7 linked regions of the Ovis aries genome follow. The protein of the gene in region 4 interacts with the protein of the main gene of each other region in a pairwise test. Links are inferred from orthologs where the notes say so. Each region holds a gene or a part of one and is shown on either strand. Other genes may lie near its edges. The genes, in order: FRS3, STX11, TRIM41, TLE5, TRIM26, SOX5 and LDOC1.

Region 1 (3,500 bases), on a different chromosome or scaffold from region 4:
TCCCCCTTGGGGCCAAGGTGGGAAAGGAGGGCAGTACCCAATCGGATCCACCTGGGGGCGGAAGGGGGACTCAGTGAGAGAGTCCAGAGAAGGTGAATATGGTACAGCACCCCACCCCTCAATTCCACTCCCACTGACTACAGCCTCAGAGGGTCCGGGGAGTTTTTCTTACAGATCCCCTTTGGGCATCAAGGACTCCAGGTGCCTTGTCACTTTACTTTGACAGAGCAGCCGTCCCTGGCAACTTTCAGTTCCTGGCCAGGGCTTCTTAGAGGAGAAAAAGAAATGGTTGTTACTTGTCACAAATACCACAATCACCCTAGAGTGAAGACCCTACCTCTGTGAGGCCTCCTGGACTCCCACCCCAGGCATGCCAGAAAAAAACTCTTTAAAAATGTGACATCATCCACGTCAGAATTTAAAAATAATTATATTAATAATAAATATGTTAAATTACATTTAAAACAATAAATAGAAAAATAAACTGATAAATAAAATCAACAGGTACAAAATGTTTCCAAATTTCAACCAAAAAAACACAGACGACAGACGCGACAGATGACAGAACGGGAGGGTGCTAATTGCCGTCGGGGGGCCCTTCACAGTTTACACCGCGGCTCCCTCCTCGCCTGGTCCTCCTCCCTCCTGTCCCCAACTCGGACACCGGGGGACTCTGCGGCTGATATCTTTGGGGACTCTGGCCAGTGCGGTAAGCATCTGGTCCACCTCAGTGCCCTTCTGCGAAGCAGCCCCGAGCCCCGGCGTGGGGGTTCAGGGCATGGAGCGGGAGGCGGAGGATGGGCCGGGCGGAGGAGGGGCGCCCCTACAGAGGCAGGTCGGTGCTGTTGTGCCGGGTTTTCCGGGCGGTCCCGTCGTCGCGGGGCAGCGCCCTCTGCAGGTTGGACATGGCCACGGTCTTTTTGAGGTCGATCACGGCGTAGGAGTCTGAGCTGCGGGTAGGGTGCGTGGTGGGCACAGGGCCTCGGGGGGCGGAGGGGTTCGGGGGCCCCTTGGAGTGGTCTCCACCCCAGCCCTTCAGCTCCACCTGGATGTAGTTGAGCTGCCTCGGGGGCTCCGGGCCCGGGCGGCGGAAATCAAAGTTGAAGACCCTTGGGGAGCCTCGGCGCCGGGTCAGCGGCACGGGGAAGCTGCCGTGACTGCGGAGGGCAGGCCGGGTGCTGGTGGGCTTCTGCAGCGGGGTCTCGTCCTCCTCGCCTTCCGGGAAGCCGTTGGAGGAGGGTGTGAGCCCGTCCCTTGAGTCACCGTCATCCCCGGCCTCCTCCCCTGGCTGTGGGGCCTGGCTCTCCCACACCGGGGGCAGGGAGGGCAGGTTTTCATAGTGCAGTAGTGCAGCCCGGCGCTGGGCCAGGCCGTTCCAGCCCGGCTCCTCCGGGCTCAGTTTCCAGCCCGCCCCCGGCCGCAACCCGCCGCTGACGTTCTCGTAGGTGCACTTGGGCTGGGCCGGGCACTCTGAAAGGCCCTCGTTGTTATTGTTGTGGTGGGGGGCGTCCTGCAGGCTCGGGCACAGGCCTTGGCACTTGGTCATGTGCCGCCGAGCTGGGGTGGGGCCCAACACGAACTTCACCTGGCCCGGCTGCAGGAACACCTGTGGGTCCCGCTGGTCGGGGCCCCGGGCCTGCTGTGCAAAGGGCGCCCGGCCCTCAGGCAAGGGCTGCAGGCAGTGCCGGCTTCGGCGCTGCTCCTCCTCGCTGGCTGGCGTGTTGACGTAGGTGTGGGACTGGGCGGGAGGGTCCAAGGGCAAGAAGGAAGCAGAGAACAGGGGACAGGATGAGAGGAGAAGCACATGGGAGAGGGCTGCAGTCTCCTCCTCTTCCTTGCCCTCCAAACCTTCCAGGGAAGCGGCCTCCCTTTCTTGGGACAGGAAGGGGCCCTGTCCATTTTCTTCCCTCTCATGAGCCTCACTGGCAGGAGGTGCTGTATTTTCCCAACCCCCTACCCCCACCAGACCAACAGGAAGACCCTGGGCAGCCAGTTGCTCACCTGCTCATCTGGGGCAATGAGGGCATGGGTGGACTCTTCACCAAGCGAGGGGTGGCGGAGGCTGCTTGTTGAGGGGCGCCGGGGTGCTGAGAATCGGGGACCCTCCCCTGGGCAGCCAGGGAAGCCATTGGAGAAGCTGGAGATGGTATAGCCTAGAGCTGGGCACACAGGAGACAAGGGGTCCTTAAACCAGGTGGCAGCTGCCTGCAACCGTGCATGTGGCAGCCTGGGACTCTCCCAGGGAGACACTCCCAGGGTCCTCGAGGGCCCACCCACCGAACTGGCAGTCCCCATTGTCTTCACCTTGTGTCTGATCTTCAACCTCTGCCATTCTTCTGAACGCTCAGCTTGAACTCCACTCCCCCCATCAGAGCCTTATCTGAAACACTTAAGGCACACCTTGCTGTCACTGAACTGACCCTACACTTCATTCCAGCTCTGCCAGTGAGCTCCAGGGAAGCTCCTCAAAATCAAGGACCGTGTGTCTATTTCTTCTGTCCCTCATGGGCCAGCTGATGGAGGGCAGGACACAAAGCAGGCGTTCGATGTGATTTAGTGAATGAACAAGCAGAAACCGTGGGAACCTCTCCAGACAGCTGTGGGCAGAGATGGTGCACCAGCTGTCAGGAAAGGTATATGGGTATGACCCAGTAGATAGAAGAAAGGAAGCAAAGCGGCTCCAGACTGCCGTTTCCATGGAAACCCAATGTCTTCCTGTCTGCTCCCCGACCATCCGTCAATACAAGGCTCTGGACTCCCCAGCCTCAGCTTGAGTCACCTGATTAGTCTAGGCCAGGACTTATCTATCCCTGGGAGTTGTCTGATGATGGATGATGGTCCTGGAAGCCTGGCTCACCCAGCCATCCTCCACCTGCCTGCCTGACTCATGCCTCCAAGACCAGTGCTCCCTGGACCTGTGCTTGTGTGTGCGTTGGGGTGCTGAGGAGAGGGGTTTCCTCACCATTGGGAGGCTGGGGGGCCCGAGGGAGGTCAAGCTCAGCCGGGTGGCTGTTGCGGGTGATGATGACTGGCTCTTCCATCACATTGATGCTGTTGCACTGCATCAGATCCTGGAGGAGGTTGAAGATTTCCTCAGCCCTGGAGCACTTAAATGCAAATATCCCTGAAGAAGGAGAGGAAGAAATGAGGCTCCTCTGACCCTGCATCCTATAGGGGAGGACCAGGGAGGTTGAAAGGATGCACAGAGTTCAGGAAACGTCCCTGAACTTCAGTCCCAGGCCTGAGGGGTTAGGGTTAGCATCCTGACTGTTCTCCGCACACTCGCCAATATCCAAGAGCCATGGGAGGAGCCGGCCCAAGGCCTTCACTCCCCTCCCCCAACACACACTATGCATTTCCATCATCTTAAGATCTAGCGTGCTGTGCTTAGTCACTTAGTTGTGTCCCACTCTGTGACCCCACGGACTGTGGGCCGCTGGGCCTCTCTGTCCATGGGGATTCTCCAGGCAAGAATACTGGAGTGGGTTGCCATGCCCTCC
Region 2 (4,079 bases), on a different chromosome or scaffold from region 4:
TCTGCTCTGAAATGTTTATACCCACAGTCTATGAAAAATGTTCCCTGATGATATTTTCATCTTATTTAGATCCGCTGGTCAGCTTTTCAAAGAAACAATGTTGTATGTCATATGATATAAATTTTTCTCTAGTACACTCAGACTAGAAAAATATTCTCAGATTCACATCCAAATCTTTTTGCATATAGCTTATCTATATAAAATGTAATTTATGGAAATACAGAAATAAGACTTTATAAAGTAAATAGGTAAATTTTAAGGTTTCATTTATCCAGTATCTACTAAGCTTTTCTTTAAACATATTTATTTATTTTTCCCAAAAAACTACTTTTTAAAGGTATATGAGGAAATTAGTACATCAGTACTTCAAACAAGCCATTGTTATTCAACATACACAGCATATAGGAGAACAGAGTTTCTAACCCTTTCCTATACACTGAATATTTCTGTCCCTCTAAAATTCATATGTTTAAATCCAAACCCTATGTGATGGTACTGGGAGGTGGAACCTTGTGAGGTGATGAAGTCATGAATATAGAAACCTCAAAAACATGATTCATGATTAGTACCCTTATAAAAGAAGCCCCAGGAAACTCTCTTGCCCCTTCTGCTGTGAGAGGATATAGCAATAAGATAACCATCTATGAACCAGGAAGCAAGCTCTCATCAAACACCAAATTCATCACTACCATGATATAAGACTTCACAGCCTCCAAAACTGTGAGAAATAAATTTCTGTTGTTTATAAGACACTCAGTCTGAGTATTTTTGTGTACCATTTAGCCCAGACACATTAAGACACCTTGGAAACTTAAGATATAAACACACAAATATTAGCAAACAACAGATCGTTTTAAAAAATTAAACCCCATAATGCTAATATATCAAAGTCACTCAGTCATGTCCACCTCTTTGTAACCCCATGGACTATATGTAGCCCCTCAGGCTCTTCTGCCCATGGAATTCTCCAGGGAAGGATAATGGAGTGGTTAACCATTCCTTTCTCCAGGGGGATCTCCCTGACCCAGGGATTGAACCTGGGTCTCCCACATTGAGAGCAGGTTCATATCAAAGATAACCAACACTTATCATCTGCATCACAAAGTATGAGGTATGCACAACTCAACCCCATCCGACCCAGGAGGAAAAGAGCCTTCAAATCTCCTGTCCACTGTCTCAGGACCAGCAAGCAAAGGAACCTGGATCCAAATCTTAGCATCCAACACAAAAGTTTATGTTCCTAACTACAAAAAAGTGTCCAAGAGCAACTCAAAGGCCACATAAAAAATAAAAAAGAAAAATTTTCCAAAGCAAATGATTTATTCATCCTGTTATATCAAACTAAAAGTAAGCTTAGAAAAACTACTAAAAAAAGAAGAGAAACAAGAATGCAGATATACACACTACTATATATAAAATAGATAACTAATAAGGAGAACTCTTTTCAATACTCTGTAATGGCCCATATGGGAAAAGAATCTAAAAAAGAGTGGCTGTTTGTACAACTGACTCACTGCTGTTCACCTGAAACTAGCAGAACACTGTATTAATAAATCAACTCTACTCCAATAAGAATTTTAAAAATTAAAAAATAAATACAAATATTCAAAAAATAAAACATGCAGCAGACATCTCTCTTAGAAAAGCAATCTTTTTTAAAATAAGCTCATTTTTCTGTGCATGGTACACAAGAAGGAGTAGAAAGCGAGGTTGCAAATTGTACTATTTTGGTGTCCATTAAATGTTATCTTTGCTTATAGTTCCTGAAATGACACCATTGTATTTTCAATTTAACAGAAATTGCAAATAAGTGAAAACGTTCCTCTGATATACTGGCATACTTGTTGTAAGAGGCCTGAAGTTTAGCATGTATTGGCTACTCTATGCATACTAACAGAACATTCTCTGTGAAAGAGAATGGGCTGAAAAAATCTGGACTAGAGATAGCATAATTGATCTGTTTAATACCTCAGTTTTTCTGCAACTGTGATTTTGCATAACAACTTGCAAAAGTATTTTAAGATGAGACTGTTGATCAATGCTCACTTCTGGTAAATCCCTTTTGCACCAGAGCCCAGTCCTGAGGAACTGATAAAAGTGAAACAAAAAAAAATCACCAACAGAAGGTAACAAATAAGCCATGCCTTTTACAAATGTTTAGCAAATGCTGGTTTCAAATCTGAATAATTAAATTAGTTCTCAAAGATGTAGTGTTCACAAATAGGCTAAACATTTTTACATCTATAGTTTATTCATTTAGAAGAATTTGTGCCATCCATTTAGAAACTATAAGCTTCTACAGCAAAAAGCCTTACTTTGTGGTTGAGATGTGGTCTTCTTTTTTTACTCGTCATCCATTTCATCCCCTTGAGGCAGCTTCATGTCTTTATTTGTCTTATTTTTCCCTTTAACACAGACTTCAAATGGATGGATTCCTTCATCAAAGGTGGTTTATAATTTCTGAGTTCATAGACCACAACCAGCAGTCCTTTGTGATCCTAAAGAAAATGTAAAAGTACAATGTTGGCACCACAAAAGACAGTGTGTTTTAAATAATGACTATTTTAAAGATGAGCTTAGTACAAATAAGTGATGCAATGAAAACAGACTGAAGTTCGAGCAGAGAGGTCACAGATTCAGCAGACAGTCTTTCTTTGAGGATACCTGCTCTTGGAATGATGAGCTTGTTGAGGAGACCGTGGAGAAGCTGACAGATGTTCCTCTCGGGTCCACAGCTCCTCACCTTCCTTATGTGTCCCAGTGTGAGCAGGAATCCTTTCTAGCAGCTGACATGGTCTGTGTCACCAGTACTGGGTGTTGAAAGCAAGCCACCCCATCTGATTTCTTAAAACCCTATTTTCTATAGGCTGACGATGGCAAAGGTCAATTATGAAACAGGAACTTTTGACACAACTCAACATCCCTAGTCACAAAGAAACATTTACAAAACAAATGCCCCCATGCAAATTGAAATTCTTAATTGATTACAATGTAGATATGAGTGTTGGACATAACCCATTCACTCCTTATTTCTTTTATGGTCCTACTACATCATCTTTCCAGCTTAAGTAAGGATTACACTGCTCTTCAAGGAAAAAGAATAAATGGTAATTAGTGCCTGGAAAACCCCATGGATGGAGGAACCTGGTAGGCTGCAGTCCATGGGGTCGAGAAGAGTCGGACACAACTGAGCGACTTCACTTTCACTTTCCACTTTCACGCATTGGAGAAGGAAATGGCAACCCACTCCAGTGCTCTTGCCTGGAGAATCCCAGGGACGGGAGAGCCTGGTGGGCTGCCGTCTCTGGGGTCGCACAGAGTCGGACATGACTGAAGCGACTTAGCAGCAGCAGCAGCAGCAGTGTTGACAAATTACTTGAATATAATATAAATACAATGTAGCTTATATAAATATGGCATAAATTTTGTATGACTACAAGTTCTTTAAAAAACTATAAAATTTAAGCCAATCTACGTTACAAGTATAAAGTTAATAATGTTAAAATAAACAGCATTGATAAAATTTTTCTTGATGAAGCAAAACCACAAATGTCTATTCCAAAAGTGCTTTGGAGTAATTTGTATTTCATTTATCCATATGAGTCTCTTTATTTTGAAGATAACACTCATTTGAATGATTCTCCTTATTATTGCTATGATTTTTCCTTTTAAACTATACATTCATCTTGTATCATCAAGCCATGATTTTTTTTCAGTTTTACTGAGATGTAATTGACAAATAGAAATGTAAGGAACAAAGCATACATGGTGGTGATTTGATATTTGTATGCATTGTGAAAAGACTCCCACTGCCTAATTAATTAACATATTCATCACCTCACATAATGATCTTTTTTTTTTTTTTGGTGAGAACATTAAAGTTGTATTCTCTTAGCAAATTTCAATTATATAATACAGTTGACTCTTGAACAATATGGTAGTTAGAGGCATCAACTTCCCACACAGTAGAAAATCAAAGTATAATTTTAATAGGCTACTGTATCTGCAGTTTCACAGCCAAGTAGTCAACCAACCACAGATTGTGTAATACGTATTCAATTAAAAAAAAATATGTGTAT
Region 3 (4,260 bases), about 20 Mb from region 4:
AGCTACCCTCTCCTCCTGGTTCCACTTCTACAAACCATCTGGCCCTTCGGTAAATGTTATTTCTACCAGCTATCTCACACACAAATCTCCTTTACCTGTGTCCGAAAAGATGTTAACTAAATTAGAATCAAACTTCGAGAAGAAAAGTCACATGTCAGAAAAATCAAACAACAGACATCTAAATAGTGGTGATGTTGTAAAACAGTATAGGCCAGGAAAGGCGGGGCGGGGGGAGGCGGTGTAGTTACGAGGAACTGTGTGGCCCTGTGTGTATATTACTTACATCTCTCTGTTTCTGTTTCCCTTCCGTTTCCCAATCTGTAAAACGGGAATACAAACCACAGCAAACTCACAGGTTTTCAATTTTAAATGAGACAGTCCAAGAAAAAGTGCTTAGTACAGTGCAGGGGTACATAGTAAGTGTTCAGTAAACATTAACTTTTAATCCTGGAGAAATTATAAAGTTCAAAGACATTCAGAGACTAAGGGCCAGATCTTCTGACTTAAAAGCCTATCCCTCTTTTTAAATACCCAGGAAAGGTAAGAAGTGCTGGCCAGTACGAAAGAATGATTCCGCAAGGAGAAAACAAAGCCATATCTTGGAGTGGGTGGGGAACCCATTAGAACAAGAGCAGAGCATATGAGTCTGATTCTAGTAGTCAATACACACTTCTGTTCCTCAGAACACCTTATTATTTGAGGCCCAAGCTCTTTCCTGGAGAAGGAAATGGCAACCCACTCCAGTATTCTTGCCTGGAAAATTCCATGGACAGAGGAGCCTGGCAGGCTACAGTCCATGGGGTCGCAAAGAGTCGGCCAGGACTTTATGACTGAGCAAGTTCTTCCCATTTCTAGAGGTTTTAATCAGGGATAGAGTTTTAAGAGTCATTCACAGTTAAATAAGACGGGTGGTAAAGCCCTAAGGGCTTGTCACTTGCATTTCTATAACTTAGGGACAGTGAAGTGCAAAACAGCAGTGGCTTTTCCCCAAGAGACAAAGTCCAGTGATATGACATCACCAGATTTCGTTTGAGGAAGCCAGTCTTCCCTGGTCTTCTCCACAGTGTCTACTTTGTCTGTGTCCAGGATCCTTCTCACTCTAACCATCCTGGTGCCAGTAAGTGCTTAGGTAAGGAGAATCAGCTCAACAGTGCACGAGGATCTCTGGACGGGAAAGACACCATTTCCTTTCCCCAGTTTCTCTTACTTCTTCTCCACCCCAACTAAACTCCCATCTTCTACTCTCACCTTGTACTCCTGCACCACCTCCTCCAATGGCACCACGCTGTGCTGTTTGTGGTTCCTGGATTCTCGACATACCACACAGATGGCCTCTTCATCCACCTCGCAGAAGAGCTTCAGGGCTTCTTGGTGTTTGGGACAAATGCCCTGCTCGTTCCCACGGCTCCCCCGACCAGCGGTTGGGTGCATCTGCCGAATCACCTGGACCATGTTGGCCAGCTGCAGGTTGGGCCGGAAGCTCCGCCTAGGAAAGCTCTTGCGGCACTGAGGGCAGGTGAAGCACCTCCGAGGAGTTGGAGGCGGGGGCAGTGGGGTGACGGGATCTAGCTCCTCTTCCTCGTCCTCCTCCAGCACTTCCTCCTCGTCCTCCTCCTCCTCTCCCCTCAGGTCCTCCTCCATATCCCCCAAGTAGTAGTCCAGGTCTTCCTCCTCCTCCTCCTCCTCCCACACGTAGTCCATGTTGTCCCAGTTGGATCCGCCCATGCCACTGGTCCAGAACACACCCTCTTCTTCCTCCTCGACCTCCTCCTCCATGTCGCCCTCATAGTCTTCATCGCGCATAGGGGTGTCCCAACCCCCACCGGCCCCCACAGCCTCCACTTCTTCCTCCTCTGCATCCTCCTCCTCTTCCTCCCGGTCTAACTCTTCTCTGTCCTCTTCATCCTCCCCTCCCCACAACTGGGTTACACACACTCGGCAGAAGTTGTGCCCGCAGCCGATGGACACGGGGTCCGTGAAGTAATCGAGGCAGATAGCGCACACCGCCTCCTCCTGAAGGGTCTGCACAGGGTTGGGTGCCATGGCAACGGCAGCCATCTTAAGTGTCCAGTCAGCCAGTATAGACGGGTGGTGAGTGGTGGGGGCGGGGGGCGGGGGGGTCTTCCCTCTCAGACTCCCTGACGACCCAGCCCCACCCCCAGCCCTGCCCCTCCACACCTCGCCTCAAGCGCAGCCAAAGAAATGTCCTCCCGACAACACACCCCTGCACACAGAGTTCCCTACTCCCAGACCACAACCGAGTCCCTGAAAGGGGAGGGGACAGAGCTGAGCGATACCGCCAAGTCCCTCAGGTGGCCCTGAGTGCAAATCTGCCCCAACGCTCCCTTGGCCTCCTCATAAACCCCCGCCCCTCCTCACTTCCTGGCTCCGCCCCCTCACTTCCGGCCTCCCCTAACACTTCCGGTGCTGCTAACCACCCAAGATCGCGAGCTCCCTCCCAGGTCACGCTACGCCCCTTTCTGCCCCCGCTTCCCCGCCCCGGGTCTCCAGATGACAGGAAACGGTGAGGCGACGCTCTAGCAGGCACTCAGGAACAGGGAGGGAGGCCTAAAAGGACGGAGGCGTACGACTCTGTAATGCGAGGGAGTGGGGAACGCAGACGAAACTGAAAGCCCGGCCTCCCCCATCGCCCGCCACTGGGGATAAATTTCGGGGGACCTTGGAAGGGCTTGGCACCCGTCTACTCTCTATGCTATGACCGTATCGGCCCAGCGCCATCCTACCGACCGGACACGGAGAACTGCAGCAGGAACTCCCCACGGCCGATACCGGAAATGGGAAGGGCGGGTGTCGGTGAGAACCCTGAAGTACTTCCGGCCCATCTAGGCGAAGGACTTTGTTGTTTGAAGACTCCGAGAGTCGGTCCGAGACTGACTAGGGGGCGGGGTCTGTAGAAGTGCGGTGGAGGTGGGACCGGAGACCCCTCCCATCCTCCCAGCTGTAGTTGGCATTTCCACACACTTTGTAGAAACTACCGTCGGTCACTGTCGCTTCGTTTAGATGAACTTTCTTAACTGCCATCGGTAAAGGAACAGTAGCAAATCATGACATGCACATTCACACAGTGGAACACTTCAGATGTAAAAAAGGGAATCCTCCCCAAAATGTACAAATGAAATGAAAAAACCAAGGTGCTAAACAATCTATAGAGTATAATTGTAAACAAGGGAAAGGGATGGGATGTTTAGCTTTATAAGTGACTAAGTGAAGTCGCTCAGTCGTGTCCGACTCTGCGACCCCGTGAACTTGTAGCCTACCAGGCTCCTCCGTCCATGGGATTCTCCAGGCAAGAGTACTGCTCAACACCAGGGATCAAACCCGGGTCTCCAGCATTGGAGGCAGATGCTTTAACCTCTGAGCCACCAGAATCCTGTGCTAATTCATAAAGGGTAGTTCCTATCTCAGAGGGTTTAGTGAAATTACTGTTGTGCAAAACTATTATAATATTGCCTAGCACACAGTAAATGAGATATAAGGTTTAGCTATCCATCATTATCATCGTTGTTGTCTATCTCTGGATGAATATTAGTGTATCTAGGACACTTTTCTGTAAATGTCGTTCTGTCTCTTTTGAACTTGAACCAAGTCAATGTATTGCCTTAAAGAAAAAAGAAATAATTTTGTTTCCCACCCCCCAAGTGCTATTGAGTCCTTCAGCTCTTTCTGAGCTGTGCACCGCGCGTGCTCCACGCCCAGAATACTTCGAGGTCTGTCTTCGTGGAGTCCCAGTGTAAGAGCAGGGGCTCAAACTGGGTTTGCGGCATTGGGTTTTACTTGAGAGAATCCTAGCTAGGATGTAGAACGGTATCGGTAAAGATGCTGCTGTGGTACCTGGAGCATCTCAGCCAAATGGATTGTTTGTTTGTGCGATAGAAATAATACTTGATGTTTTTAAAAAACATGATCTTGCTTAATTAAAAAAATTTTTTTTGGACAGCAGGGAAAGTTACGGGACTCTCTAGTGAGTGTTGGGCGCTGCGCAATGCCAGAACTGGGCACGCAGAATTGACCCTGATCTCGAGGCGCTTCTCACCTCTTGTGGAAACTCCAAAATGACATGTGCTTTATAAAATGGTGGTCAGAACGCGCCCAAACTACGAATCTTCGTGCATAAACTATGTACTAGGCCGTGCCAGGAGCTGCAAACGCTACTGTGGCAGATAAATGGGACCACCAGACCTGAACGTGGTTCAGACGGCCCCTAAAGGGAGCCCCATGTCCCTTTGGAATCTTGTCTTA
Region 4 (3,963 bases):
AATGCTCTTCATGTTGGCATACAGTAAGTACCCAATAAATATTTCATTCATCTTGTGGTCACCCCAGGGGACTTAGAGTTTCGTTCTGCCAGACTGACCATGACTTGTATACCTGGGTTCACAGGTGAGCCACACTTAGTCTAATTCTCTTTAAAAATGTCCATGTGCAATTTCATTCCAAATTCGGCATTTCTGGCCTTTCCTGAGGGACTGGTAGATACTGGGACAGCCCCAACACAGTGGAAGCCCTCAGTGTACACCAGGAAGCCTAAGCCCAGCGAACAGAGACTGTGAAGTTCAGAGATGGGGTGTGACCTATCTGAGGTCACACAGCGCTCTGGCAACATCTCTAGAACTGGATCGGCTCCAGTGGTCACTGTGATGTGTGCATGGGCCAGGCAGGGAGAGGGGACCCCCTGGAGAGGCTCAGAGAGGCCAGATCTGTTGGGCAAAGCCCCTAAACCCTCCATATCACAGGATCAGAACCTTCAATCAACTACACCTCCGATTCCTGATCTTTGAAATGGGCACAATGATAGGACAGCAGGGAAGACGAAACAAAAGGAAGTATGTTCACTCTTCAGCAAATGGGGAGAATGGGCAGTACCCTCTAAAGAACAAATATATCACTCTTTCCAATTTCTTCTTGCAGAAATCCCAGGATCCTTCAAAAAATACTTCTGTGTGGGTAAATAGATCCAGGGAGGCCCCAAACCCCACTGGTATATAGACTCCCCATCTGATTCCCAGGCAAAGACCACTCTGCAGCACAGCCTTGAGGATCTGCTTCCTTCAGTCCAGAGATGGGATCTAAATCTTGCTACTTTCTTGCTGTGCAACCTCAAAAAATCTCTGGGCTTAAGTTTTTCCAAATGTAAAATGAAAAATAAATAGTTCCTTTCTCTTTAGATCAGGCACATGGCAAAACCCTTTAGCAATGTCAGATTCAATTCTGGAGGGAGAATCACCTTCCTGCTGGGTGGCAGGAACCCTTTCTCCAAAACCAGGCTACAGATCTGGGGCGGGGGTGGGGGGGGGAGGGCTTTGGGGAGGTGGAGAATCAATCACCAATTCTAGATGCTGGGGGTCTTTTATCCATTGGTGTGGAGGTGGGGAGAGGGGCTCTAAAACCAGACAACTGAGTCTGGGCAAATTATTGACATTTTTGATGCCTCAGATTTCTCATCTACAAAAATGGGACTGTTTTAAAGACTAAATGAATGTCATATCCCTGAAGTGGTAAAGACAGCGCCTGCCACTAAGACCTTCATGGCCTCTATTTTTTGGAGTCTGTATATAAAGCAGAGGCCACAATCTCCGCTCCAGGCCTCAGTCTGGAGCAAGGGGCTCCACCTTCTTCCGAGTTGGGACCACCAGCCCCCAGCTCACCTGTGGTACTGAGCCTGCAGCAGTTGAAACTCATCTTTGATGCGATCGCAGGAGTCCGAAGTAGTGAATTTGAGTTGCTGGGGGAGGTGCGACGAGCCCTGTGGGGAGGGGGCGGCGGCCCGGGTCAGGACCCCACAGGGCAGACATCCACCTCTCCCCCGCCACAGAGGCCCCAAGGCGGCGGCAGGCGCAGCTGCAGCGCCCCCCCCACCCGCCCCACTTCCCGGGCCCGTGTTTACAGCTCCTGGCGCGGCCCCCGCCCTCGCTTCCTGCCCCCGCCTCTCCCAGCGAGTCGAGGGGGGTGGGTGCGCCCTCTCGTCCTCCGCCACCCCCAGGCTGTGGGGGTGCGTCTGAAGGCCCGCCCTTGGTGGGGGGCAGGGTGCGCCCTCTACCGCGCCTCCAAAGCGCCGGGAGGGGGTGCACTCTGAGCGCCCAGTTGCCTCTGGGGGGAGGAGAACGTGTCCTAGAGAGACCCCCCCAAGTTGGGGGGGAATGAGGTTTCCTAGCCTAGTCCCCTTGGGGGAGGGGCATCTCTCACCGCCTGAAATTTCCGAGTGGGGGCACCCCTGATTCTGAGCACCCTTCCTCCAGGCCGCGCTCTTCCGGGAGGGGTGCGCCTTGGGTCTCCCCCCACTCCCGGACCCCGAAAGCACCCCCAGCCTTAGAGGTGCCTGGTGGGGCTTCCGGGGCGCCCTAGGCCTGAGGCCAAGGCCGCCGAGGCCCATCCTGGCTTGGGGGGGTTGGGGGCAGGGCCCGGGCTGGCGCGGGGTCGGGGGATCTAAGCTGGGAGCTGGAGGGGACCTGGCTTGGAACCTAGCGGGGTACTCTGGTCCCGGAAGCCGGGAGAGGGGCCGGGAGCTACGGGGGATGGGAGGGAGTCCGGGAGCTGGCGGCGGGGGTGGGGAGTAGCGCTGGGCCCAGAGCTAGAGGGGACTGGGCCCAGGAGTTGGGGGGGAGATGCCGAGCTGAGAGCTGGGGGGTGGGGGCGGCCCGGCTGGGATCTAGAGCTGGGGGCACAGGGCTTGGACCTGGAGAGGGGCGCTGAGTTTGGACCTGAGGGGGGGGTGCAGGGCCCGAACCTGAGGGAGGGAATGGTTCGGCTGGGAACTGGGGGGGCCGGGCCGGGACCTGGGGGGACGCAGGGCCCAGAGCTTGGGGGATGGCCCAGCCAGGAACTGGGGGTTGCCGGGCCCGGATGGGGTGGGCGCCGGGCCGGCGGGCCCCGCTTACCGAATGCCTGCTTTGTGGAAACATCATGTCAGTCGCGGCGGGGGGCGCGGGCTGCGCCCCGGCTGTGCGCCCCGGCTCGGGCTGCTCGGGGCGCCGGCGGCCGCGCCTTTGTCCCGGCGCCGATCGGCAGCTCCCGGGCCGCCGCCGCCGCCTCCCGCGCCCGGCCTCGCCCGCTTCCTGCGCCCCCTCCCCGCGCGCCCGGCCCCGGCGCGCCCCGGGCCCCGCTTCCTGCGCGCCCGGCGCCCCTCCCCGCCCCTCCCCGCCGCCCGCCTCCCCGCACGCCCGGCCGCCGCTCCTATTGTCTAATGGCGGCGACGCCGGCAGTGGCCGCGGCCTCGGCTGCGCGGAGGCTCCGGCTCCACCTGCTGCTGCCGCCGCCGCCGCCGCTTCTGCTTCCCGGGCCCCGTGCGCGCCGCCGAGGGGGGGGCGCGCGCCCGGGGAGGCCCGCGGATCCCCACCCATCCGCCTCCCCCGGGCAGGCCGGCGCGGTGACCTTGGGCCCGGCGCGCCCCCGCCGCGCCGCGGCCCCTGCTGGCCTGGTGGCCCGCACGGCCGCGCCTGGGCCTTGGTTTCCTCATGTGTCAGAGCCGGGGGGCCCTGCTGCCCCCATCGAAACCTCCGGCGCAGTCATGGCGCGACCCGGACGCGTGCCATGGACATGCTCTGTAACCTTGGCTCACGGGATGTTTTCTGAGCCTTGATTTCCTCTTCTGTAGAAAGGAGGTGGTGATAACCACCGAGCTCCTGGGAGCCATGGCTTCCACACACATTTATGGAGCGCCTACTGTGTACCAAGCCTCGCTCCGCTCCAGGATGTGGGGTGGGAGGGGATACAAAGTCCAGGCCCTGGTGGCCCTGGTGGAGATGTCATGAGACATAGAGACAAACCCATGAACCACATCCCTAGCAGGTCAGACAGTGGTAACACCTATGGGGAAAACAAACCAGGAGGGAGGGCCGGAAGGTGCGATTTTAAACAGAGGGAGGTCAGAGGGCCTCCTTGGCCTCTAAGAGGACCCAAAGGTGAGAGAAGGAGCTGGCAGGCTATGGGGGTAGTGGCTTAGTCAAGGAGGCAGAGTCAGCCAGCGCAAAGGCACTGAGGCAGCACTGCCTGGCACGGGGTGGGGGGTGGAGTGCTTGGGAGGAAATGAGGGCAGGGAGGCAGGGCCAGCAACTTCATGCATTCACATAGGGCCCCAGCTCCCAGAAGGGCTGTGCTCTGGTTAATGATCCGCCCTTGTGGTCTCTGGAAATTCCTAAATGATTTTTGAACAGGGTCCTCACAGTTTAGTTTTGTATTGAGCCCCGCAGCTTCTGTAGCTGGTGATAGGGAGGGACAGATGC
Region 5 (3,991 bases), on a different chromosome or scaffold from region 4:
GGGTAAAAGGAAACAAAAACTGAAACTGGGGGCAAGTATCACTTTACACACACTATGGGGAGGAATAATAGGTAAAGAATTCAAAGGTGGTGGGGATTCTAAAGTTTTTATCTTCTGTTTTGTATTTTTATAATTATGTAGGACCAACAGGGTATTTTATAATGGGATATTCAATAAATACTTTCTTGTGGCTAAGTGAAGATATAAGTGCTTGCTTATGTTTACCAGATAAACAGAAATGACATGAAGAGTCTCAATGTAATATAGATAAGAAATAGCTCCAAAGATGAGTGTTTTTGAAAACTAATGACCTTGAGGTGATAAATTATGTTTAGATTAATAATGTTAAAGAAAGTGAAAGTGGGTCTGACTCTTTGCAACCCATGGACTATAGCCCACCAGACTCCTCTGTCCATGGAATTTTCCAGGCAAGATTACTGGAGTGGATGGATAGCCATTCCCTTCTCCTGGGGATCTAGGGATCAAACCTGGGTCTCCTGCACTGGAGGCAGATTAAATTTTCTTGGGCCTGCTGTATTTTACAGTAATGTCTAAGACCCACATAACCAAATGTATGAAGATAATTTCAATGTACTTCAATCTATGAGTCATACAGTATCTTGGGAGAATGAAAACTAAACCACTTAGATATGCTCTGTCAAATACAGTAGCTACTAGCCACATATGGCTATTTAAATTTAAATTTAATTAAATAAAAATTCAACTGCTCAGTGATGTTAGCCACATTTCAAGTGCTCAGTAGCCACATAGAGCTAGCACCTACCACGTGAAAAGTGCAGACCCAGAACTCTGAGTAGCACTATTATTGATGATATTAGTGGGCCTCAAGTAAGGTACATTAGGCCCATTCAAAACCAAATGGCCAATACTATTTCTCATACAGATTACATCAGATTTATTTCTGGGATATGGATAAATATTAAGCTGGTACCAACAAATCCAAAATGGGTCAGGAATAAATTTCTCTCTTGTGCCTTCAGGCGCAGACTATTCCCATTCCACAGGGGAAACACCTGTCTCCCAACTCCTTCCTAGGTGGAGACACTCTGGCATCAAATTTCTAGGGGCAACTTCACTTTTAGAAGAACCAAGAGGCAGAGCCCTAATACATAAAGGTTGGGAAGCACAGAGTCCAGCTCAGGAAGAGGGAGTCTAGAAGTGAAGAGACAGAGAGGTGGATGCTAGCTTGCAGTCTCCCTGCTTTACTCAGAACAGTACTTCTCAAACTGTGGTCTGTGGAACCCTTGAAGTCTCTGAGACCCTACTATGGGATCCATGAGGTTAAAACTATTTTCATGACATTACCAAAAATGTATTAACCTTTTTCTTTTAAATATGTATTTCTTATTTTGGCTGCACTGGGTCTTCACTGAGGCATGAGGGATTTCTCTAGTTGCAGAGCATGGCCTTTAGGCTCAGCAGTTGCAACTTGAAGGCTTAGTTGTCCTTTGACACATGGGCTCTCGGTTCCCCCGCAGGGATCAAACCCTTGTCCCCTGCATTGGAGGGCCATTTCATGACCACTGTTCCACCAGGGAAGCCCCTACCTTTTTCACTGTGTTGACATTTACACTGAGGTAAAACTTAGCAGAAATGAGCCTATTTCAACAAACAGCAATAGCACTTATGAATTCTTCACCACAATTTAATTGCAGAATAATAAAGCAAGTTTCACTGAAAAATATCCGGGTCGTAGTATTAAAAATTATTGTTTCTACAGTCATCATTCTTGAGTCCACATTTTAGACTCTCTGATAGGATGAAATGGGAAGTACACATAAAATACTTCTGTTCCATTTTAAAGTACTATGTCCCAAGGAAAATAATTTTTCTGAGCTGACTTAGCTTCTTTTTTTATGGAAGACTATTTCATTTTAAGAATGAATAACAGGAAAACATGATTTTTTAGATTTCGTTATTTGGCATAATGAACATGAGTTTCTCCCTTCCAGGAAATCAACTTACAGTATTATTGCCAATGATAAAATGCAAGTTCTCATTAGAAAATTAATCTTGACAGCTTCCCAGTACTGACAAACTTTTCTAGTGTAAGCTGTGGTGACATTAACAAATGTGATTGTTTGCTAATCTTAAACGTCAACACTCTAAAATCTATAAAACTTGGTAAAGCAATGCATTACTGTAAAAAAAAATGCATTGATATAATATTCATTCAATGTACAAAACAGACCTATGGACTCTTATGCAACAGATCTGGAAATATTCAGTTATAGTTTCAAGTTTCACATGAAACCTAACACTTGTGTAGTTTTAGTGTTATATCAAAGATGAGTAGGTATAATTATCTGAAAATGTTATTCAAAATACTTGCCTTACCTATACTTGTGTGAGGCTGGATTTTTTTAATTTACTTTAATAAAAAAAAATTAAATACAGAAGCAGATATCCAAATACTTCAGTCTTCTAACGAAGCATACAAGAAAAGAATGTAAACTTTTGAAAGAATGTAAAATCTAGAAGTCTCACTTCTCACTATACTATTTCATTTTGAAAATAGATTTTTCATAAAATTATTTATTTTAATGTAATGGGTTAATAATATTACAATTGAATCAATCGATTTCTGTTGTTTCAATTTCTAATATGGCCAATGTTCACAGATACAACACACATAAGTGATACTATCTTTGAGGTCCCAAGTCGAATACATTGATTCGGAAACCGAAAGTTTGTAAACTTCTGACTTACAGGGTCCTCCAGGCAGTAGGTGAGAGGTCAGGGCAAAGTCCCAGGTCCCCGGATAAGGCTCTCAGGGTCTGGGCGAGGGAGTCAAACCTCGTGGGATTCCCCACCTCCCTGGGGTTTCACTTTCTCGCCGCTCAAACTGTGTCGGGTCTTTCTGCCTGGATACTCATGACGAGATAACAGTTCTCACTCCCATTGCGTATCCGGTTTCTAGAAGCCAATCAACGTCACCAGCGTTCCTGGTTTTAGGGTCTCTTATCTCCCCTCTCAAACTGTGTCGGGCCTTTCTGCCTGGATACTCATGACGAGATCCTAGTATTCACTCCCATTGAGTATTCGGTTTCTAGAAGCCAATCAGTGTCCAATCCTGGCTTCAGGGTCTCTATCGACCAGCCCCGACTGCTTTCCTCAGGTTCGGACGGTAGGGACTTTAGGAACTCAAGCACTCCGCTGCTGTTAGGGTCCCTGGGTCTGACCAAGATCTGGGAGAGGGAAATTCTGCAGGGGGAGGAGCAGGGGGCTGCTTGCTGCGGCGCAGGACCTCCAAGCAAGATAAATTCGCCGCACGCGGCCCAGACTCTACGTTTACTTGGGCTAGGAAAAGCCTGCAGCGATTTGTTCTATTTTTTGGGGGGGTGGGGGGGATGAGGGGTGGGGGGGTGGGGGGGTGGGGGGGATGAGGGGGGGGGGGGGGGGGGGGATGAGGGGTGGGGGGGTGGGGGGGATGAGGGGTGGGGGTTTAGTCCAGAACCAGCTTAATCTGTGCAGCTGGAGGCCTGGGTCAGCTGTAGCCTGTGGGGCCCTGGGAAGCCTCCTCTCTGGGACCCGTGACCCCAAACCTTGGGTCATCCTCGGGGCCAGAATTTAGATTTGGGTACAGGAGCTCAGAACTTTTTAATTCGATGGTTTGGAGGTGGAGGGATCAGGCCTGAGGGATCCAGACAGCAGGTCTTTCTCTGTCAGGTCCATGAAGGGGATGAAGAGACAGGAGGCTAGGGTCCTGGGCTCTTAGGCCTGGGAGGAGAAGAAGGCACCCTGAAGGCTTCATAGGGTGGAGAGGGTGATGCTTGGACAGGGGGGTCCACCCTTGGTGTCCTTGGTATGGTGGTGTAGGTCTGGGGAGGAGGAATGCCTTTTTCATGTCTCAGGAAAATGTTAGGGGGACCCACGGCCCAGACTCATGACTGATCTCCTTGTCACCCTTGTGGCCTCCAGGCTCCAGTTCACATCCTGTCCTTTGATCTCCAGGAAGCACCTTCATGGC
Region 6 (4,075 bases), on a different chromosome or scaffold from region 4:
GTGTGTGTGTGTGTGTGTGTGTATGAAGAATGCACACTATCTCGTGTTGGTGAGTGTGTGCTTACTCCCTGACCAGATGCTGCGGTGCACGGGGCAGCCACCATCTCTGCATGCGTGTCTGTGTAAGTGTCTCTCTCTCTCTGTGTATGTGCCTCTGTGCCTCTGTCATTTCATGTCAAAGGTACATTACCTGATTACCTTCCTCGCCTGCCAGATTTTTATCTAGATAATTGGAACTGCTATGGAGGCTGTGCCTTGCCAGCCAGCTTAGGAGCTGCAGAGCCCTAGTTTGTCCACCTTGTTATCTGTGGCTGCCTGGGCAGAGGAAATTAAAGAGATCCCCAGCCAGGGGAGCGCTTCCTGCCCGACTTCCCCAGCCATCCCAAGCAGGACAGTTTGTGAGGACCATCTTTTTGTTTTCATCTGTTGGTTTGGTTTGGGGTTCTGTTCCCTAGAGTGTGTGTTATTTTGGCACGTGGATACCTAGTCCCCTCCACCTCGCACATCGTGTTTTATGGAGTTTGGAGCTGAGGAAACTTTGGTTGGGTTGCCAGGACGTTCGCACCACTTTGTGGAAAGCGCGAGCTAACAGTGAGACCGACAGAGTGAGTGACAAGTTGTTTACAGGTTTCCTTGAAGGGGCCTCTGCTATATTTCAATCTGTCAAAGTTGCTTTTCTTCCCTCAGAACAATGCCTGATTGTTGTGTGCAAGTGTGTGTGTGTATGTGTGTGTGTGTGTGTTTCCGTGTGCGCACGGAGAGAGCCTAGAAAAGGGTGAGAAGGCATAACAATTCTTTGTGTAAAAATGCTATTACTAATATTTAATCTTTTTGCTCAATGAGTTAATCAATGCAGTTGAATCGGGGTTGGGTTCGTGTACAGATTTCTCGTTTAATCAGTAGCAAATGCATTTTCAAAAATCATATTTTGTGTATGTATGTGTGCATGCGTGTGCGACTTTTATTATTTAGAGGAGAGAGTATGGGAGACACACTAAATGAGTTGACTTCTCACATTTGGTGATGTCTAGAAGGGAGAATTAAAAGGAAAGGACAGGCACCCTGAGGTTGTCTAGTGCCTTGCAGCCCGAGTGTGCGGCTGGAGGAGGGGGGAGCGGCCAGACCCCGCTGCTGGAAGTGCGCTACCCCTTTAAGAGACTGGTCAAGGAGTCCTAGGAGTGGGAGGGGGGAGAGGGGGAGAGGGGGGAGAGAGAGATTGAGAGAGAGAGTGAGAGAGAGAGAGAGAAAATCAATTGGTTTAGAAGGTTTGGACTCACTTGACAGGTTCAGTTGGAGACGATCATAGGTGGCTGCTGTGACAAAGGGAAATTGTGCTTTTCCAGCATGCTTACTGACCCTGATTTACCTCAGGAGTTTGAAAGGTGAGTACAGTTTTCCCCCTCTGATATATTGAAGTGCAACTCTCCCATTTTACAGTAGTCTCTGAATCCACTGGAAGATGCTCGCCTAAAACGTGTTTGTTAGAGAAGCTTTTAGCGAGTGCTTCTGCAGTCTTGTTAGCTGATTTTTGTTGTGATTGCCCAGACCAAATGGAACTGATTTGCAAAGTCTCCGAGATCTCTGCTAATGTTTCTAGGTTGTGTCCTATAACAGGAAATTAAATGAACATTAAGCATCTCTCTCTTTCTCCCACTCTCTGCTTTTCTCTTTCTCATTCACTCTCTTACTCTCTTCCTTCGTTGATATTTTTCTCCCCTTCCACACCTTTTAAAAATGCTTTTGTGCAGAATGTTACCATTTTCAACATCTCTGTGTCGTAATTTCTGGGGTGACAGAGGGCTTTGGTGGTGATTAAAACGGACGCTATAAGTTCCTATTTGATCCTTCTGTAAAACTTTGGAAGCTGCTCAGTAAAGCACATGATCTTTTGTTGATATAAGAGAGCAGATTTTTTTTTTTTAAAGAAAATGTAACATCACAGTAATCTATTAGTACACTACTCTTGAAATGTCAAAAAAAAAAAAGAGAAATGGGGATGATCCCTTTCTAAGTTTTGTGGCCACTTTTTGCACTGTCTTAAGTTAAATTTTGATTTATTTTATTTTCTATTTTGCTCTGTGGGAATAAGTTTTTTGTTATTATTATTTCTTATTAGAGAAATATGTGCTAATACCCTTCCATTTGATGTTGTTGCAAGTAAAGAGAGCTTTGAAAGAATTTTAGCCCTCTTCGTGTTCCTCTAAGTACACATTGCAATTTTAAAATTTGAGTTCTTATCCCAGCATAAGTTCATTTTTTGGAACTATAAATAGAATTTTGTTTGCCATTAAAAAGAATTCAAACTTTGTATTCTGTATGGTGAATTAGAAAAAAAAAGCTAAAAAAAGCCAGGATGCATGATACCCAGGCTTTTTTTTTTTTCTTTTTCATGAAAGCTACCTTCTGTATAAACATTTGTTGTATCTGACTATGCAATGCAAGCTAGGTGCTAGACCAGCTGGTTAAAAATATGCTAAGTCAAGCTGTTCATCGCTCAAAAGACTGAATTTGATATGAAAAGACGAAAAAAGAAAGGACAAAGATTAAAACATTCTAGAAGTGAAGCAGTGGAAGAGAAGAAGGGTATTGAGAATAAAATAATGCTTGAATATGGTCATATATTAGAGAAACCAACATCAGATCAGGGAAGAAAATAAAATAGCCAGTACATATACTTTAATACTGTCTTCTTTCTTTCATTTCATCTTCTTTTTTTAAAAACTTAAGATGCATCTTCACTACATAATTCCAGCGAATGCCTGAGCTTTCTTAACAGTTTTGAGTGATTTTTTCCCCCAAAGTTCTGTATATTAACTCTTTAGAATAGTTAGTTTTTTTTGGTAAACATAGCCTGTTTCATATGTAGATACTGAAGTTGTTTATATTGGAACATACTATCGCTTAATACTACAGTGAGTTTTCTAGTATGTACAGAGCAGCACGAAATGATAGTATACTTTAACTCTATACTTTTCAGAAATAAAACTCTGAGTCTGATTTGTAAGTCTGTTAACCTGACTGTTCTTATAAAAAGGTAGTTACATATTAACAGGCTGTAGCCTATTCCTTTATATAGGCAAGCTTTCCTGCTGTGAACTTTATTTGTATCTTTTCAATTATCTCTTTTTAAACTAAACTTTTCCATTTGCTATTCTGATACTCAAATCTCTTAACATTTTTTTTCCTCCTAGTGAGAATTTCATTTTTTATCACCCAGAGGCATGCTTTTCTAACTGCCTAATTAGATAAGCAAGTGATAATCAATAGAGTTGTCAGTATAGACAGCATATTTGGAAATATTAGTAGCTAAAATAATTTTGAAAAATGTCCTACAGTGTAAAATTTCTTAATAATTTCCCCTGTGGTTATAATTGGTAGTACATACAAAATCTCAGTAAATCATTACTATTTGTTTACATTGAATATGTACGGCTGAGAGTATCTATAGTTACCCACACAGAGTATATATCATGCAGACTCAATATTGAATATTTATATTCTCCATGGGAGGTATATATGCTGTAATTATACTACTCTCTTATATAGTCAGTGTTCTTTTTGCCTTTTCAACTCTCTGCAACTTTCATTGAATATGTAGGTCATTTCTATCAAGTGTTAATTTTTATTCTATTTGCTCACCTGATATAGATGAGTAGTTCACTCAAACTTAGTCATAAATTCAAAAAGAAGACTTTTAAGTTTCTATATGAAATAAAGAAGATTGCTCTGGAGGGCATTACTAAGTTGCTTAGAGTTTATGTATTTTGGAAGTTGTAATTTTTTTTTCTAGTTTCGATTAAAGTCTTGACTATCTTCTATTATCCTTTGCAACCTGTAGACTATTTGAAACTTTAAGGAATATTCAAAACAAGTATCTGGATCAAAATTTGGATGTAGATTTCTATGTCTGTATTATCAGCTGTAGAAATGAACATGATCAATACTGTCCTAAACAGTTGTTAAATAATTCAGAAGCAGTAACAATTTCATTGTCTGCTAAAAAATATTCAAGAGGTAAAATAAAAAGTGATTACAAAAAGTAAAGAATTTGAAATACTTAATTTTTATTTTCAAA
Region 7 (3,060 bases), on a different chromosome or scaffold from region 4:
GGGTTTTAAAACAATGTGCTACACTATGTATTGAAGCCTAAAATCAATAGCACCCCACAGGCACTAAGAGTTAACAGGCAGAACATCTCTGACCATGTTGAGGAAGAACCCCAAAGTTCATGAAAATAGAAATATTGTGTGTCCTGACTTGTACTTGTTGTTCCAGTCTAATTATTAATAGTGTCCCCTTGAAGCTCTCTCAAAATTGTCCCAGTTTGGGATGGTGTGCCACCTGCCTGCTCAGCCACCCCTTACCCATGCCACCTCAGAAGCACCAGAGAACACTCCCTTCACCAGGGCTATAAGAAAGGCATCAGTGGGGGTAGTACCAGTTTCCCCATAAAGCCCTGTAGTAACTGTCCTCTGGAGTTTAGTCGTGACAGTGGGGAGTACAGAGATTGAAAGTTGAATGAGATTCCCTGATGCCAGTGGGAATAATGAGTCAGGGTGAAAGTGGCAAAGGCCAATGATAGCCCTTAACCATGAAAAGACACTTGCTGTTGTTGTTTTTTTTTTTTTTTTTTGGTAGTGCTTGAAATTTATTGAAAAGAATGCAAATGCTTTTTCCAGGTAGCATTGAGGAGCTGGGCTGAGTACTTGCTTTTGTTTGTATTGTTCGGTTTTTAGTATTTTTGTCCAAATGCACACCTCGATGGGACTGCTGCAATTTTGAAATGAAGATGACGGGTGTGCAAAACTGATGCATAGGAGAAATGTCAACAATTGGGTTGCCAGGCACAATGGGCCCCTGCAGCAATCTGGTGGGCCAGGAGGAAGACCTGGAGTTAGTAGGGAACAATTAATCAAGTTGAAAGATTAGCCCCTGGGGAGGGGGGTGGAGTTGTTGGTGAGCAGTCCAAATCAGTGTCCCAGGAGGTGTAGCCCACAAAGGCATCTTCTAGATTGTTCCTGATCTCCAAAGGCCGGGTCTATCGCTGGAATCTGGTGGAGGGTGCTTGGGTGGCAGCGCAGGTCGCTGGGCAGAGGTGCAGGCCTGACAGTCAGCAAGGCAGAGTATAGGCTGACCGGTTTGTAAGAGGGGCTTGCCCTAGAGCTGGGGCTCAGAACACAGTTCTAACGAGCAGTGAGGGTCCTGGGGCTGGCCAGAGTGGGCAGCAGAGTGCACTTCAGAGACGCCCCAGCCTCAGCAGCAGGTGACTAGAGAGCACTATGCCTGGAACAAAGACAAGCACTACGGCAGAGAGTGGAGGGTGAGGAAGACAACCAGAGGGGAGGGAAAGGCCAGGGGATCACAGCGTTAGGGGAGCGCGGTGGCTCCGGGCGGGGCGAGGCGGGGAGGCAGCGGGGGTGGCGGAGGGCAGTGCCCTTCCCCCTCTAGGCCCGAGGGTCTCCGGGCCTAATACTCATCTTCTTCATCTTCGTCTTCGTCTTCTTCGTCGTCATCCCAGCCAAAACACTGTTTCATCTCATCGAGGAAGGCCCGGTAATCGCCCAGGATGGGGCTATCCATCTCAATGTAGGGCACCACCCACTCCTCGGCTTCCCCGGTGAGCAGGCTGATCAGGAATGCCACCTTCATGGCGTCGTTGCAGAATCGGTTCTCGTTGACGAGCATGTAAGACGCCGTCTGCACGATAAACTCGGGGAGCCGGGAGCTCTCGCCGTCAAACGTTTCGGGGAAGGGCACAGGGCAGCTCGGCGGACGTACCTGGCGCAGCAGGGTGGCCCTCTCGCACACCAGCAGCCGAAGCTGTTCCATGAGCTGGCTGTTCTCGATGCTAAGGGCGCGGTGCCGCATCAGAAGCGCGTGCAGCAGCAGGACCAGCTCATCCACCATGGCGAACAGCTTGGAAAGGCAGGGCAGGGCGCAGCTCGATTCGGCTAGGCTAAGGTGCTCTCGGAGGCCTCGCAGGAAGTGCGTGTCAGAGGAGACGCGCGGTGGCTAGGAGCGAGGGGCGGTGCGCGCAGGGGTCCCGGCGGCGGCGCAAGCTCCGCCCACACAGCCGAGCTGACGGCCCCGCTCAGGCACCGCCCGGCTGGAGGGGGCGGGGCCGGGGAAGGCAAGGGGCGGGGCCGGGGAAGGCAAGGGGCGGGGCCGGGGAAGGCAAGGGGCGGGGCCGGGGTGGCCCGGACTAGGGCTCGGCGTCCGCGCTCGCAGGTCCGGGGGCCGCTGGATAAAGGCGAAGACCCAACCTTGGATGTGGGTCGGGCCGTAGCCTGGACCGTGCAAGCGCAAAAGACCCATCTCTCAGAGAGGTTCAACCTGCTCAGGTTTAAAGGACTCACCACCCTTCAGCCAAGCCGACTCATACATCTCGGTGTTCCTTGGAGGGCCAGTAGCCCCTGGGTTCCCTCTGAGTGGTTTTAACACATTTCTTGGCTTATGAAATCTCCCTCACCCAAAGAACCGTTAGCAGTGCTGGCTGCACGCCAGCGTCACACCCTGTAAGAGTTATGAAAGACCCTCAGGGGTCCTGTCTTTCATGACAAAGCGATATTTAAAAGGGATTTTTCTTTGGTTGGAAAATAGTATTGTGTACTTCTATCCCTTTGTTTAAAATTATTTTTGTAAATAGCAAAGTGTAAAAAGTTCTGCAAAATTTAGCATCCAATCACCATTTGCAGGAGTCCTGCCTATCTTTGACTCTATTTCTGTCCTAATGTTAGTGTCCCTTGACTACTGGGTATTTATCCCCTGCTTAACAATAAACACTTGTGTTTTAAAAATGGCTTTGCTTTTCTACTTTGAATGCGATTATTCAAATAGTTGACAAATGAGTTGGGGAGACAGCCTCTGGGCCACCACATTCTGTTGGAACACCTTTTAAAATATATTCCCAGTCGAATCACTTCTTGTTACTTCTACCAATACCACCCTGGTCCCAGCCCTCCTTTCTCACACAGGCTGTTGAAACTAACCACTTAACTTCCATTCTTCTCTTCCTATAGTGTATGTATTCCCCAGAGTAAGGACAGGACTCCTTTAGAACAAAAGTTAGATCACTTCCCCTCCCTGCTGTAAACCCTCCAATAGTTTTCCCTTATCAGTCAAAAGAAAAACCAAAGTCTTGGTAATGGCCTACCAGGCCCTACCTCATC

What was found.
Region 1: the proteins of TLE5 (region 4) and FRS3 interact in binary tests that used the Homo sapiens proteins (3 or more experiments, as listed by UniProt). The two-hybrid records come from large-scale screens. The link is inferred for Ovis aries from reciprocal best matches to the Homo sapiens genes TLE5 and FRS3.
Region 2: the proteins of TLE5 (region 4) and STX11 interact in binary tests that used the Homo sapiens proteins (3 or more experiments, as listed by UniProt). The two-hybrid records come from large-scale screens. The link is inferred for Ovis aries from reciprocal best matches to the Homo sapiens genes TLE5 and STX11.
Region 3: the proteins of TLE5 (region 4) and TRIM41 interact in binary tests that used the Homo sapiens proteins (3 or more experiments, as listed by UniProt). The two-hybrid records come from large-scale screens. The link is inferred for Ovis aries from reciprocal best matches to the Homo sapiens genes TLE5 and TRIM41.
Region 5: the proteins of TLE5 (region 4) and TRIM26 interact in binary tests that used the Homo sapiens proteins (3 or more experiments, as listed by UniProt). The two-hybrid records come from large-scale screens. The link is inferred for Ovis aries from reciprocal best matches to the Homo sapiens genes TLE5 and TRIM26.
Region 6: the proteins of TLE5 (region 4) and SOX5 interact in binary tests that used the Homo sapiens proteins (3 or more experiments, as listed by UniProt). The two-hybrid records come from large-scale screens. The link is inferred for Ovis aries from reciprocal best matches to the Homo sapiens genes TLE5 and SOX5.
Region 7: the proteins of TLE5 (region 4) and LDOC1 interact in binary tests that used the Homo sapiens proteins (3 or more experiments, as listed by UniProt). The two-hybrid records come from large-scale screens. The link is inferred for Ovis aries from reciprocal best matches to the Homo sapiens genes TLE5 and LDOC1.

Annotation. Positions count from the first base shown.
Region 1 is NC_056073.1:15,617,430-15,620,929, forward strand, and holds the end of FRS3 (fibroblast growth factor receptor substrate 3), read right to left. Parts: intron 3,125-3,500; coding exon 2,963-3,124; intron 2,160-2,962; coding exon 2,002-2,159; intron 1,739-2,001; coding exon 824-1,738; 3' UTR 412-823; downstream 1-411. UniProt on the Homo sapiens protein: Adapter protein that links FGF and NGF receptors to downstream signaling pathways. Involved in the activation of MAP kinases. Down-regulates ERK2 signaling by interfering with the phosphorylation and nuclear translocation of ERK2.
Region 2 is NC_056061.1:68,707,661-68,711,739, reverse strand, and holds the start of STX11 (syntaxin-11), read right to left. Parts: upstream 2,801-4,079; 5' UTR 2,665-2,800; intron 2,499-2,664; 5' UTR 2,316-2,498; intron 1-2,315. UniProt on the Homo sapiens protein: SNARE that acts to regulate protein transport between late endosomes and the trans-Golgi network.
Region 3 is NC_056058.1:38,099,728-38,103,987, reverse strand, and holds the start of TRIM41 (E3 ubiquitin-protein ligase TRIM41), read right to left. Parts: upstream 2,801-4,260; 5' UTR 2,059-2,800; coding exon 1,249-2,058; intron 1-1,248.
Region 4 is NC_056058.1:18,524,229-18,528,191, reverse strand, and holds the start of TLE5 (TLE family member 5), read right to left. Parts: upstream 2,801-3,963; 5' UTR 2,647-2,800; coding exon 2,620-2,646; intron 1,488-2,619; coding exon 1,390-1,487; intron 1-1,389. UniProt on the Homo sapiens protein: Transcriptional corepressor. Acts as a dominant repressor towards other family members. Inhibits NF-kappa-B-regulated gene expression. May be required for the initiation and maintenance of the differentiated state.
Region 5 is NC_056073.1:27,756,780-27,760,770, reverse strand, and holds the start of TRIM26 (tripartite motif-containing protein 26), read right to left. Parts: upstream 2,801-3,991; 5' UTR 2,731-2,800; intron 1-2,730.
Region 6 is NC_056056.1:191,733,130-191,737,204, forward strand, and holds the start of SOX5 (transcription factor SOX-5), read left to right. Parts: upstream 1-1,275; 5' UTR 1,276-1,344; coding exon 1,345-1,382; intron 1,383-4,075.
Region 7 is NC_056080.1:94,166,926-94,169,985, forward strand, and holds LDOC1 (protein LDOC1), read right to left. Parts: upstream 1,881-3,060; 5' UTR 1,799-1,880; coding exon 1,358-1,798; 3' UTR 501-1,357; downstream 1-500. UniProt on the Homo sapiens protein: May have an important role in the development and/or progression of some cancers.